3 linked regions of the Macaca fascicularis genome follow. The protein of the gene in region 2 interacts with the protein of the main gene of each other region in a biochemical or structural test. Links are inferred from orthologs where the notes say so. Each region holds a gene or a part of one and is shown on either strand. Other genes may lie near its edges. The genes, in order: LATS1, HTRA2 and CSN2.

Evidence for each region.
Region 1: the proteins of HTRA2 (region 2) and LATS1 form a complex in vitro, tested with the Homo sapiens proteins (2 studies listed by BioGRID, with this or other methods). The link is inferred for Macaca fascicularis from reciprocal best matches to the Homo sapiens genes HTRA2 and LATS1.
Region 3: of the proteins of HTRA2 (region 2) and CSN2, one has a biochemical effect on the other in vitro, tested with the Homo sapiens proteins (2 studies listed by BioGRID). The link is inferred for Macaca fascicularis from reciprocal best matches to the Homo sapiens genes HTRA2 and CSN2.

What each region holds. Positions count from the first base shown.
Region 1 is NC_088378.1:57,703,315-57,707,065, forward strand, and holds the start of LATS1 (serine/threonine-protein kinase LATS1), read right to left. Parts: upstream 2,535-3,751; 5' UTR 2,304-2,534; intron 1-2,303. UniProt on the Homo sapiens protein: Negative regulator of YAP1 in the Hippo signaling pathway that plays a pivotal role in organ size control and tumor suppression by restricting proliferation and promoting apoptosis.
Region 2 is NC_088387.1:47,414,560-47,418,310, reverse strand, and holds the start of HTRA2 (serine protease HTRA2, mitochondrial), read left to right. Parts: upstream 1-1,053; 5' UTR 1,054-1,096; coding exon 1,097-1,602; intron 1,603-1,703; coding exon 1,704-1,908; intron 1,909-1,997; coding exon 1,998-2,192; intron 2,193-2,427; coding exon 2,428-2,460; intron 2,461-2,685; coding exon 2,686-2,791; intron 2,792-2,920; coding exon 2,921-2,990; intron 2,991-3,679; coding exon 3,680-3,751. Other genes in the region: lipid droplet-regulating VLDL assembly factor AUP1, read right to left, coding at 1-375, 455-592, 673-722.
Region 3 is NC_088379.1:63,990,564-63,994,314, reverse strand, and holds the start of CSN2 (beta-casein), read right to left. Parts: upstream 2,904-3,751; 5' UTR 2,856-2,903; intron 652-2,855; 5' UTR 640-651; coding exon 589-639; intron 1-588. UniProt on the Homo sapiens protein: Important role in determination of the surface properties of the casein micelles.

The sequences.
Region 1 (3,751 bases), on a different chromosome or scaffold from region 2:
AATATTCTAGTTCTGAGGACAGGTGGTAAGTTCATGGATGTTCATTTTATTATGCTTCATAGTTTAATAAAATGAACATATATATAATATATATAGCCTATTCCTTGCACATAACAAAAATTGTGAACAAAAAAAAAAATTGCTGCAATAAAAATTCTTGTGCACACATTGCTGAGCATTTTCCTTAAAATAAATTCCCAGAAGTGGAATTGCTGGATCAAAGAGAATACTTATTTAAAATTCTAATATTTATTGTCAGACTGCCTTCTAGAAAGTTATACTAATTTTATAATCCCCACAACAAGGTATGGTTAATACTGGCATTACTAAATCTCAATAATCTTTGCTGCTATGTCATGTGAAAATTCAAATTATTACTAGGCAAAGAGAATTTTTAAAATAATTATTCAAAGCAAAACTGTTCACCTTTTTAACCCACACTACAATGGGGCCAGATTCATCTTAATAAACAATTCTGATCATGTCACCTACCTACTCCATAACTTTCAATGACTTTTAACCTCATGGTTAAAGTAAGAGCTCTGGAATCAAACTGCCTGGGTATGACAAATCGCCATTTTTTTTAAAAAAAAGTTCAGACCCTCATCAAAAATACAAACATCAACAAACAAGTATCACTGATTAGTTTGTCCAACTTAGGGGAAAAAAATGGTACCATTACATAAGATTTCAAAGTGTTAACTTGGGTTGAATTAAGTTTATCAGAAAAGTACCCTGGCTGGGTGCAGTAGTGCACCTGTAGTCCCAGCTACTTGAGAGGCTGTGGTGGAGGATTGCTGGAGCCCAGGAGTTGGAATCCAGCACAGGCAAGATAGCGAGTTCCCATCTTTAAAGGAAACTGCATACTGATATTTTCTTCAGTTCACTTTCTAATAATTGTCAGATCAAAAGTGAAAGCAACACTGTATCTTCATGCTGAAAAATGATTGCTGTTTCTACTTGGCGAAAATGTTATTCAATGACTAATTAACTTTTGTGATGTATAACAATCTCCCATTAATATAAATAAAACATCTAAAATAACTAAACAACCAGGGTTAGAACCGTTCCAAAGACTATTTACACAGAACAACAAGGACTTGCAATAAAAACAAAACAAAAATAAAAACGACCCATACAATGAAAGCCAGATATTATACATTAAAAATGTAGTAGAAGTATTTTTTGGTGAGCAGCAAGACATATTTAATCAATATTTAGGCACAGAATGCACCATTCCAAGCATGGACCATGATCTAGTTTCTTGCAGTAGCAGCCAACTGGACTAACACAGTGCTACTTCTTTTACTGTTCAATCAAATTCCTCCACTGCCTTAGGGAATCAACTACCCTACTTTACCGTCAGAGATAAGCTTCGTTTTCGTAGCAGAGAACATTCATTCCAATTATAATGTCCTAGCTTTTCTTCCTCATGGAGGAAATTTGATAAAAAATTTTAACCTTCAATAAATAATTCATAAAGGTCTGACAAGTTTCATGATCGCTAACATTCAAATCCATTTCCAAAACTGGAGTTATACAATATACTTCTGTGCATGAGATTATACTTATTGTTCACTAGATTTATGAATAACTTCTGGAGGACATGTTTTAAAAGTCGTATTAACATATGAGTTGGCAAACATTAAATTTTGTTCCCTTAGAAATTGACAGAGAAGTCAGAACAGTGATAAATCAAGTCATCTGAGAGTCACTGTTCCCTTAATTGTCGTTCTTTCATTTGCTGTATTTATATACACACTGCTACTCCATAAAGACTTCTCCATCTTTCCCACCACTTTCAACTAAGAACAGTAACCTAAAATCACACTGAACTAGACAGAAGAGACTCCAAGGATTTCTCCAAGGTATACCCAGGATCACGGCCCTCTAGGATTCAAAGAACTGTAGCCCTTTTACTGCAATTTTCCTTCAGAACCACCTTTCCCGTTCCTTCCCTCCTGGACACCGCCGACTAGCGTGTTGGGGGTGGGGTGGGAGACCGTCGGCGCAAGGCAGCCAGCAAGACAGGCTCTACCCAGCCAAACCTGCACCTTCGAGGCCGAAAAGCCTGGGGCTCTTCCTGCAGCACCGGGCGCGGCCAACCCTCGCTTCCCCAGGGCAGGGCTCAGCTCGGGTCAATGCAACCAGCCAAGTCAGGCCCGGAGCGGGCCGGCTCTGTCCGCCAGTCCACAGCAACCTCTGGACCCTCGCCAGCGGGGATGGGCGTGGGCCCCGGCGGCCACCGCCCCGCCAACTCGAGCAAGGGAGGAGAGCACCCGCTACGCCGGCCCGGGACCTACCTGGAGGGGAGAGCAGAGCTCCTGGACAGCAGCCACGGGCCTGAGGGCGGACGCCGAGGCGGCCGGAGCCCGTCCCAGCAACCCCAAGTATCCCTGGTGGGGCAGAGCGGGGAGAGGAGCGGGCCGGCTGCCGCGGGCCAGCGCGACCCGTCGCGGGGGTCGCGAGGACCTGGCTCTCCCCTTAACACCAGGACACTGCCGCCGCCGCCATTTTGCCTTCCACTCAGTGTCGCCGCCGCCGCACTCCGCTGCAGGTTTCCCGGATGTGGGCATTTCCCGGCGTCGCTTGCGCGGGGGCCGAGGACTGGGGGCTTCTGCCCGCCCGGCTGCTGCGAGGGAGCGCACAGCCAGCGGCCTCCGGGCCTCGTTGCGTCGCCCGCCGCTCTGATCGTTCGTGAGCGTCGCCCCACTTTGCTCCCGCCTGCCCCTGCCCAGACGACTCACCCGCGGCCGTGGGTTAAGGCTCTCTCCTGTTGATTCAATCCTTTTTCCCATTGATCTATTTCTCTGGACCGAGTAGGGATGCGCATTTCACGGAGCTACGTTCTCACAAGGGAACAACTGTGAGTCGCTCTGGGAAACCTTGCTGTGGGACCTCAGAATTCGAGATTTTTGGCGCTTTGAAATAAAATTTTATTCTTGCTTAGCGTTCTTTCCCCGAACAAGCCTGTGAGCTTCCACCATCTGTATTTTCTGAATCAGGCAGATAAGAAATTCTTGAGCCAGGACCGATTGATTAGCAGCAGTTTAGAGATCTTATCTGTCAACCGCATCCGTAGAAGGAGGTCGTTATTGCCATAATTGGAGTAACGGTGACGGTGTGACAAGAGGTTTTACTTATGGTTAAACTGAATGTAAAGTGTGAGACCGGATCGTTGGGTTTGATGTATAAAGTACCGTCTACCCTTTGTGAAGAGCGCCCTTGCCAGTTTTTCCTCTAGGAAATATACAGCTGGCGTTTTTAAGTACCTTCTTTCGTAAGTTTTCTACTACAGACTATAAAAAAATTAAAGACATCTTTTTCTGACGTTAAAGTAGTAACTGGCTACTTACTGTATCCAGAAATCCAAATGTGAAAACCTGGTAAAATATGTTCCGGCCGGGCGCGGTGGCTCACGCCTGTAATCCCAGCACTTTGGGAGGCCAAGGCGGGTGGATCACAAGGTCAGCAGATCGAGACCATCCTGGCTAACACGGTGAAACCCCGTCTCTACTAAAAATAAAAAAATTAGCCGGGCGTGGTGGCGGGCGCCTGTAGTCCCAACTACTTGGGAGGCTGAGGCAGGAGAATGGCGTGAACCCAGGAGGTGGAGTTTGCAGTGAGCCGAAATTGCGCCACTGCACTCCAGCCTGGGCAACAGAGTGAGACTCCGTCTCAAAAAAAAAAAAAAAAAAAAAAAAAAAGATTATGTTCCAAGAATATTTGGTTGAAAGCCTATTTTCTACAA
Region 2 (3,751 bases):
CACACAAAGCTGGGGGGACTATTAAGTAGAGGCTGGGAACCAGGAGAAGAGAAAGCAAGAAGAAAAAAATTGAGGAAAATGAAAAAAAATGACATGTGGGGTAGAGGATCGGGGTTAGGGGTAAGGCTCAGTATCCTCCATGGGGAACGCGAGTGGGACAGGGGGGCCTTCAGCTGGGCCCCAGGGAACCGCCCCGTGGCGCTCTCGGCCTCGCTCTCACTCACGGTGCTACAGGTGGTGAGCAAATTGACTATGTTGTGGTCGAAAGGTGTCACGTGGTTGGAAATGAGGACCCTGACACTGTGATCCCGGAGTCCGGAGTCCTCCTGCCGGGCCACGAGCCCCAGCACCGCACACATGGTCCGCACTACGAACCTGGGGACACAGGCGGTGGTGACTGTGTGGCCTCGGGCCAGGCCCAGCTTTGACACTCCCCAAACGCCCGCGTCAGAACCTGCGAAGGACGCTGTCTGGCAGCGCGCAGCTGACCAGGAAGACGTGAATCCCGAGAAAGAGGCGCAGGACGAGGAGGCAGAACCCGACCGGCGCGTAGAGCAGCAGCGCGAGCAGCAGGAAGCAGTCACCCGGGAGCCTGGGGGCGAGAGGCGAAGTGGTCGGGCGCCGAAGGCCGAGAGGACGCAGGGGTAGGTCTCTTCCCGCCGGGTCTCTTACCGGTGCGAGTCAAAGAGCCGCTCCGGCCCCGGCCCTGAGGGAAGCTCCATAACTGCTGCTTCAGGAGCGCCCAGCCGTCGCCGCCGCCATCTTCGCGCCCGGCCGCAGGGGCTCCTGGGAAGGCGGAGTCTTTGGGCATCCGCCCGGGGTGACAGGACCCGAAGTCTTGAGGCGCGCCGGAAGGGCTAGCGGTCCCAGCATACCCTGCGGCCCCTTGGGCCGTCTCACAACTCGCGTCCCACGGAGACCACAATTCCCGGCATTCGCGGGACGGGGAGGAGTCGGCCTCCCGGAATCCTGGTCCCGACGTGCACTTCTGGAGGACTTCAGGTACCGGCGTGCCCCGCGTCCTACTGTCCGCCTGCTCGCGTCCCGGGTGCCGCCTCTGAGTAGGGCGGGCGAGGAGGCAGCCGAGGCGGAGCTGATGGCTGCGCCGAGGGCGGGGCGGGGTGCAGGCTGGAGCCTTCGGGCATGGCGGGCTTTGGGGGGCATTCGCTGGGGGAGGAGACCCCGGTTGACCCCTGACCTCCGGGCCCTGCTGACGTCAGGAACTTCTGACCCCCGGGCCCGAGTGACTTATGGGACCCCCAGTCTCTGGGCCCGGTTGTGTGTTGGGGTCCCTGAACCCCGAGCATGTCTGACGTCTGGGACCCCGGGTCCCCGGGCACAACTGACTGCGGTGACCCCAGATACCAGGACCCGGGAGGCCTCAGAGAACTCTGGAACCCGTTCGCGCGCGTGGCTGGCTGTGGCACTGGGCGCTGGGGGGGCAGTGCTGTTGTTGTTGTGGGGCGGGGGTCGGGGTCCTCCGGCCGTCCTCGCCGCCGTCCCTGGCCCGCCGCCCGCTTCTCCCCGGAGTCAGTACAACTTCATCGCAGATGTGGTGGAGAAGACAGCACCTGCCGTGGTCTATATCGAGATCCTGGACCGGTAATGGGGGTAGACCGGGAGGCACTGAAGCCACGGGCCGGAGGGCGGGCAGGTAGGAGGGGTCAGGGCCTCCTCATATCCGTGCTTTCCCTCCATTCCAGGCACCCTTTCTTGGGCCGTGAAGTCCCTATCTCGAACGGCTCAGGATTCGTGGTGGCTGCCGATGGGCTCATTGTCACCAACGCCCATGTGGTGGCTGATCGGCGCAGAGTCCGTGTGAGACTGCTTAGCGGCGACACGTATGAGGCCGTGGTCACAGCTGTGGATCCCGTGGCAGACATCGCAACGCTGAGGATTCAGACTAAGGTGGGGGCTGGGGTAGGCCAGGTCTGGTTGGAGCTGCTTGTTTGCTCGCATCTCCAGATGACAGGTCTCTTATACCCATTCTCCCTTAGGAGCCTCTCCCCACGCTGCCTCTGGGACGCTCAGCTGATGTCCGGCAAGGGGAGTTTGTTGTTGCCATGGGAAGTCCCTTTGCACTGCAGAACACGATCACATCCGGCATTGTTAGCTCTGCTCAGCGTCCAGCCAGAGACCTGGGACTCCCCCAAACCAATGTGGAATACATTCAGACGGATGCAGCTATTGATGTGCGTCCTGATAGGAGAGAAATGACACATGATGGGGGAGTGGGGAGAGGCTGTGTGGTACAAGCACCAACTGATATATGGTGGATGAGCCTATATACAGAGCTTAGGCTGCAAAAATGTGGCCACTCATTCATGGGCTGAGAAAGAAGAGAATTTGGAGAAAGTACCTACATCCTGGTATGCCCCCAGACTTAGAATCCTCAGATCTCTTTCATGTTTTCTCCTTGTCCTGCAGTTTGGGAACTCTGGAGGTCCCCTGGTTAACCTGGTGAGTGAGACATCCTTCCTTCCAAGAATCCCAGCCCCAGGTCTGTGTGGGAAGGGTAGGTTTTCCCTAATTCAAGGATGTTTGGTCAAGTTTCTGAGCAGTTCTTTGTTGGCTATCTCTCAACATCCAACTGGATCTCCCCAACACTTGCTGCTACTTTTGTTCGGGTGCCCCCATCCCCTACTATTTGTTTGGGCTAGGGAACTGGGGGATGTATCCCTGCAGGATGGAGAGGTGATTGGAGTGAACACCATGAAGGTCACAGCTGGAATCTCCTTTGCCATCCCTTCTGATCGCCTTCGAGAGTTTCTGCATCGTGGGGAAAAGAAGAGTGAGCCTGGCTTATGGGGAAATACGGGAGGGGCATTCATTGGGACTTCCTGGAGGGTGGTCTATTGGGAGAAGAGGGCAGGGAAGGAAGGATGTAGCTGGGTGGGGCTTATTTGTCCCTCTGTCACAGATTCCTCCTCTGGAATCAGTGGGTCCCAGCGGCGCTACATTGGGGTGATGATGCTGACCCTGAGTCCCAGGTATGAGCTTTAGGGATAGTGACATGTAATGTGACCAGTGTAATCAGAGGTGGGCACCTCTATTGAGCTTTGTTCTCATTTCTGTCTTTATCTAAAATGAACTGTGTCACACTTGAAATAATCACAAGAGCTGTCTCCCTTCATCATCTTGACTTTCTTATTCCACTCCACTTTGTACACCTGTCAGACTGATTTCATCCTGTTACTGCTTTGATTTCAAGCCTTCAATCCATTAACTTGGCATTTAAGGGCATTTTCCATCTGTCTGTAAATCAACTTTCTAGACCTGGCTGTAATACCTTCCTATATGAATACTCAGCCAACCTGATTTCCTACTCCCATGTTTTTTATTTATGCTGTTCTTGTTTTATATGGTTAATATTGGACCCATCCTTTTAGGCTCAGCTTAAGTTTTTTCCCCTTAAAGCTTCTTTTAGTACTCTAGAATGACATTAGTGCTATTGATTTCATACTGTTTGTCATTTGGTGCCCTCATGTGGTGTACATCTTTTATGTACATGTTGCACTTTATTGCTAGAAGACAGAAAGTGAGTTGCCGTTGTATTTTGTAGTACCTAGCGCATGTCCTGTCCATCTATTTGCCAATGTGTTGATGAGAGACTTGAGGTGGAACTCAGGATGGGGAGAATGCCTGGGTTTGGCTAATAGGGTGATCTGTGTACTTTCAGCATCCTTGCTGAACTACAGCTTCGAGAACCAAGCTTTCCTGATGTTCAGCATGGTGTACTCATCCATAAAGT
Region 3 (3,751 bases), on a different chromosome or scaffold from region 2:
TATGACTTTTGAGGCTTGAAAGGTAATTGCTTTAATGTCTTTTACATTTAGTAATTTTTATTAATATACTTTTATCTTACATTTATTAAAGACAGTTTTTGATGGTTGAGTCACTTTAATTTGTATTAAATATTTTTACTATATTATTATGAATGTATGATTAGGATTATGATTGTGTCTGTACTTCATCCTATGGATGCCTTTGTATAGACAGACTTGGACCCAGTGCCCTAGGCTATAAGATATATATACATTTTATGACTGGAATAAGATATGTTTATCTAGGTTGAGCATCTGTGGAGTTATTTATGCATGTATTTGTTGCCATTTTTATGATTTTTTATTACTTATTGATTTGTTTGCTTTTTCTTTAGTGACTAGCAGCACATTGGTGTCGGAAGCATTTGGAGCACTATAGGAAACTGTTGAGACAGTGGGTAAATATAAATGATTTTGATAGAAGTCAAGATAATTTTCATGAAATTCTTCTTTATTATACAGTAAAAAATGTTGGTGATGTTATTCTCTACAAATAGGCATATAGTCCACTATTTCTTGATTTTTATGAATTTTTTCTTGTGCACATACCTCCCTTGCAAGAGCAAGAGCCACCAGGCAGGCAAGAATGATGACCTTCATGGCTACTAAGTCCTGTGAATGGAGAAAAAATTGAATAGTGATAGATTGGTTAATTGGATATATTTCTTATTTAGTTAGGTAAGGTTACTTTTTATAAAAAAGAGAGATAATGTATGACAAAAATGTCTACATTTTAGAAAATAAATAGAATAAATACTAAATAGAAGTTATATCATATGACTCAGGTCAAAATCTATTCTGGCTTGCTATTCTCATTTATCAAATTCCAAACTTCATTGCCAACTATTCAGATATTTCAGCTAACAACTCATCCCCACTTTTAAAAACGTCCCATTTGCAGTATTGATTTTTCAAAAGGCATAAAGAAGTTATAAATATATATGGAAAGATTTATTCATTAATATAAAAATATTTCCTTAGAATCTGTTCTTGCCAGACACTGTCTAGGGACCAGGACTGCAGCAATGAGCAAAATATTACAGTCCTGATATTACTCCCTGATGGAGCCTCAGTTCTACTGGAAGAGACTAATCAAGAAAATGTGTACAAAAAAGTCACATTTTATTTTTATATTTTTATTTTCACTAAACGGTTACCATGAATATTTTAGTTTAATTATTTCTCCTCATTTCCAATAAGACTGAGATTTTCATTTTAACACTTTCCTTATTTGTGTCACTATCCAGAGAATTGTTGGACTATAAAGTTTGTTTCTTCTCTGTTTATATCCATCTTCCCCACATAGCTAATAATATCTGTTCTCCTTTATGCCCCATGACTTTAGAGATTATACACTAGGCTTCTTCTCTTCTCTGTATTAAAATGTACACAAAGGTCTCTTGATGATCTGCCAAGGAGTCAGGACCTCTTGCCCACTGTCCAGCTTGGGACTACCTCTTCTTGTGAAATATATGTTAACATTTATGACCAAAATATACGAAATCATCTCCTTGTTATGTGTTCTTACATTTTTTTAATTCCAAAATAATGTTTATGCCACAATATTACTTGACACTCAAATCTTCATTTTCAGATTTTGAAACTCAATTTTTGAACTAAAAATACTTCATGAAAAAAGTCTCTAATTTATTTGAAAAATGTTCTTTTCAATATTTGAAAGTTGAACATAATTCTCTCTATTATGGAAAATAAATTTTTTTCTAGATTTTTTATGAATGTTAAATATTTTTTTATTAATTTTGCTTTGCCTAAGACCTCCATAAGTTTCCAAATTTTTTATGTCGGGGTTCAGAAAAAGAATATAGCACTCTATTTTGTATATAATTGCACTTAGGGAGGATCCCACAGCATTTTCTATATTTTATAAGTAATCTGCTTATAAACTTTACTAATTTTATTACTAATCGACTAATATATACTAATTTTATATGCTAATATATAATTACTATACTAATTTTATATACAAATATACTAATATATACTAATACCAATTATACTAATTTTTATACTAATTTATATACTATAAATATACTATATACTAATTTTTAAGTCAGAGTTTCTTTATCGACTGGTACGCTCTGAGCTATTTTCTTTTATATCATCTATTATCTTTGTTTATGGTTTCCAAGTCTTCTCTACCCCATTAAGAATTTTCTTACAAAGTAAATCACATTGTTTCTTTTTAACTTAATTCTGTATTTCTGTCTCATTTTAATATTGTTCTGAAATGTTACAAAGTAGATAATAAACTGGGAAATTTGAGGCTCTAGACAAGTTTGATGAGTAAACTCTTCTGAAAACATTGTTTATAAATATTTAAAGTAGTAAATGCCCTCAAACCATTCCCTCTATTTCTTGACTCAGTATGCTACTGCTGTAAACTACCTGTTGGATAAAGCTTTTCCAGTAATTATTTATCTACCCACACTGTAATCTAAGTATATTTCTTTTTATGGCTGTGATATGCTAAATCAAATTGGAAGATTAATTCAAAAATGAATCTCCTTTTAATATTAACTATGAACTAGCCTCATACTAAATATACATATGCATAAAATTAGTTATTACATTTTCTTAAACTCGTGAAGGCTATACGTCATTGCAATTTTTTTACCAAATTCTTCTGGGCACTTCTATCTTTTTTAGCCTAAGTGTTAAAAATAATTTCAGTACTACCTTAAATACTTTTATTTCAAACACTATATTTTAAGCAACTATGTTTTTTCTATAGCTCAAGCTACTTTGAAATACGTGGTTAGGAGAAGATACAACAAATCCGTATCTAAAATTCTTACCGTTTTTCCAAGATTGAAGAGAAGTGAAGGTAGTGCTGGACAGATGATGGTCTATCAGCTTCTGTGGCTGTTTATATACAATATTTAACGACATGCTAATTTTGTGGTTTGAAATAAGATCAACAGTGAGCTTTAATTCCAAGAAGTCCACATGATTAGAAAATGATTTCTGCCTATTATATGTCCCCACAAATTCTGGGGATCATTGTAACAAGGGAACAATTCACAAGTTGATAAAGGAAACCTGTCCAGGAAATGCAACTGTTCAATAACAACAGACAATGACTGGAGGACAGTGACCCTCTGGCCCTGTCCCCAAGTTATTATGGACATAATTAGATCTCTTTAGGGCTTAGTGGGGCCTTGAGATTTCAGTTGTGGGAAAATTGTGTGTGAACGCTAGAGATACACAGGGCTTCACAAAGGCCACAGTTTCATGTGAACCTGAGCAGTTGTCAGTGCTTTATGTTGAAATGAAAAACTGACAAGATAACAAGTCCGTGATGGCAAACTGTTATTTGAGGCAAACTGTTTTTCTCCCAGGGCCACTTGATTTGGAAAAAATATATAAATTATTTAGTTAAAACAAATATTTTATACACAAGATAAATAAACTTTCCTCTGTAATGAAACAACTCAAAGAAGGAATCTGGGTGGCTAGTAAAGGCAAAATCTTCAGTAAATCTGTAATAAAAATTTTGCAAAGTATCACAGAGTTTTATTTACCTTTTAATATTGATTATCTCTTTTCATGTCAAGCATAATTATGATAATATTAATGATGGTTATTTTTTACTTAGTTCTAACCCTTTGCCAAGCACTAAGCAAAGACGTTATCTTGTATAATCTTCACAAGAACATCATGAGGTAGCTCTCCTCTCCATACTTAGGTTGAG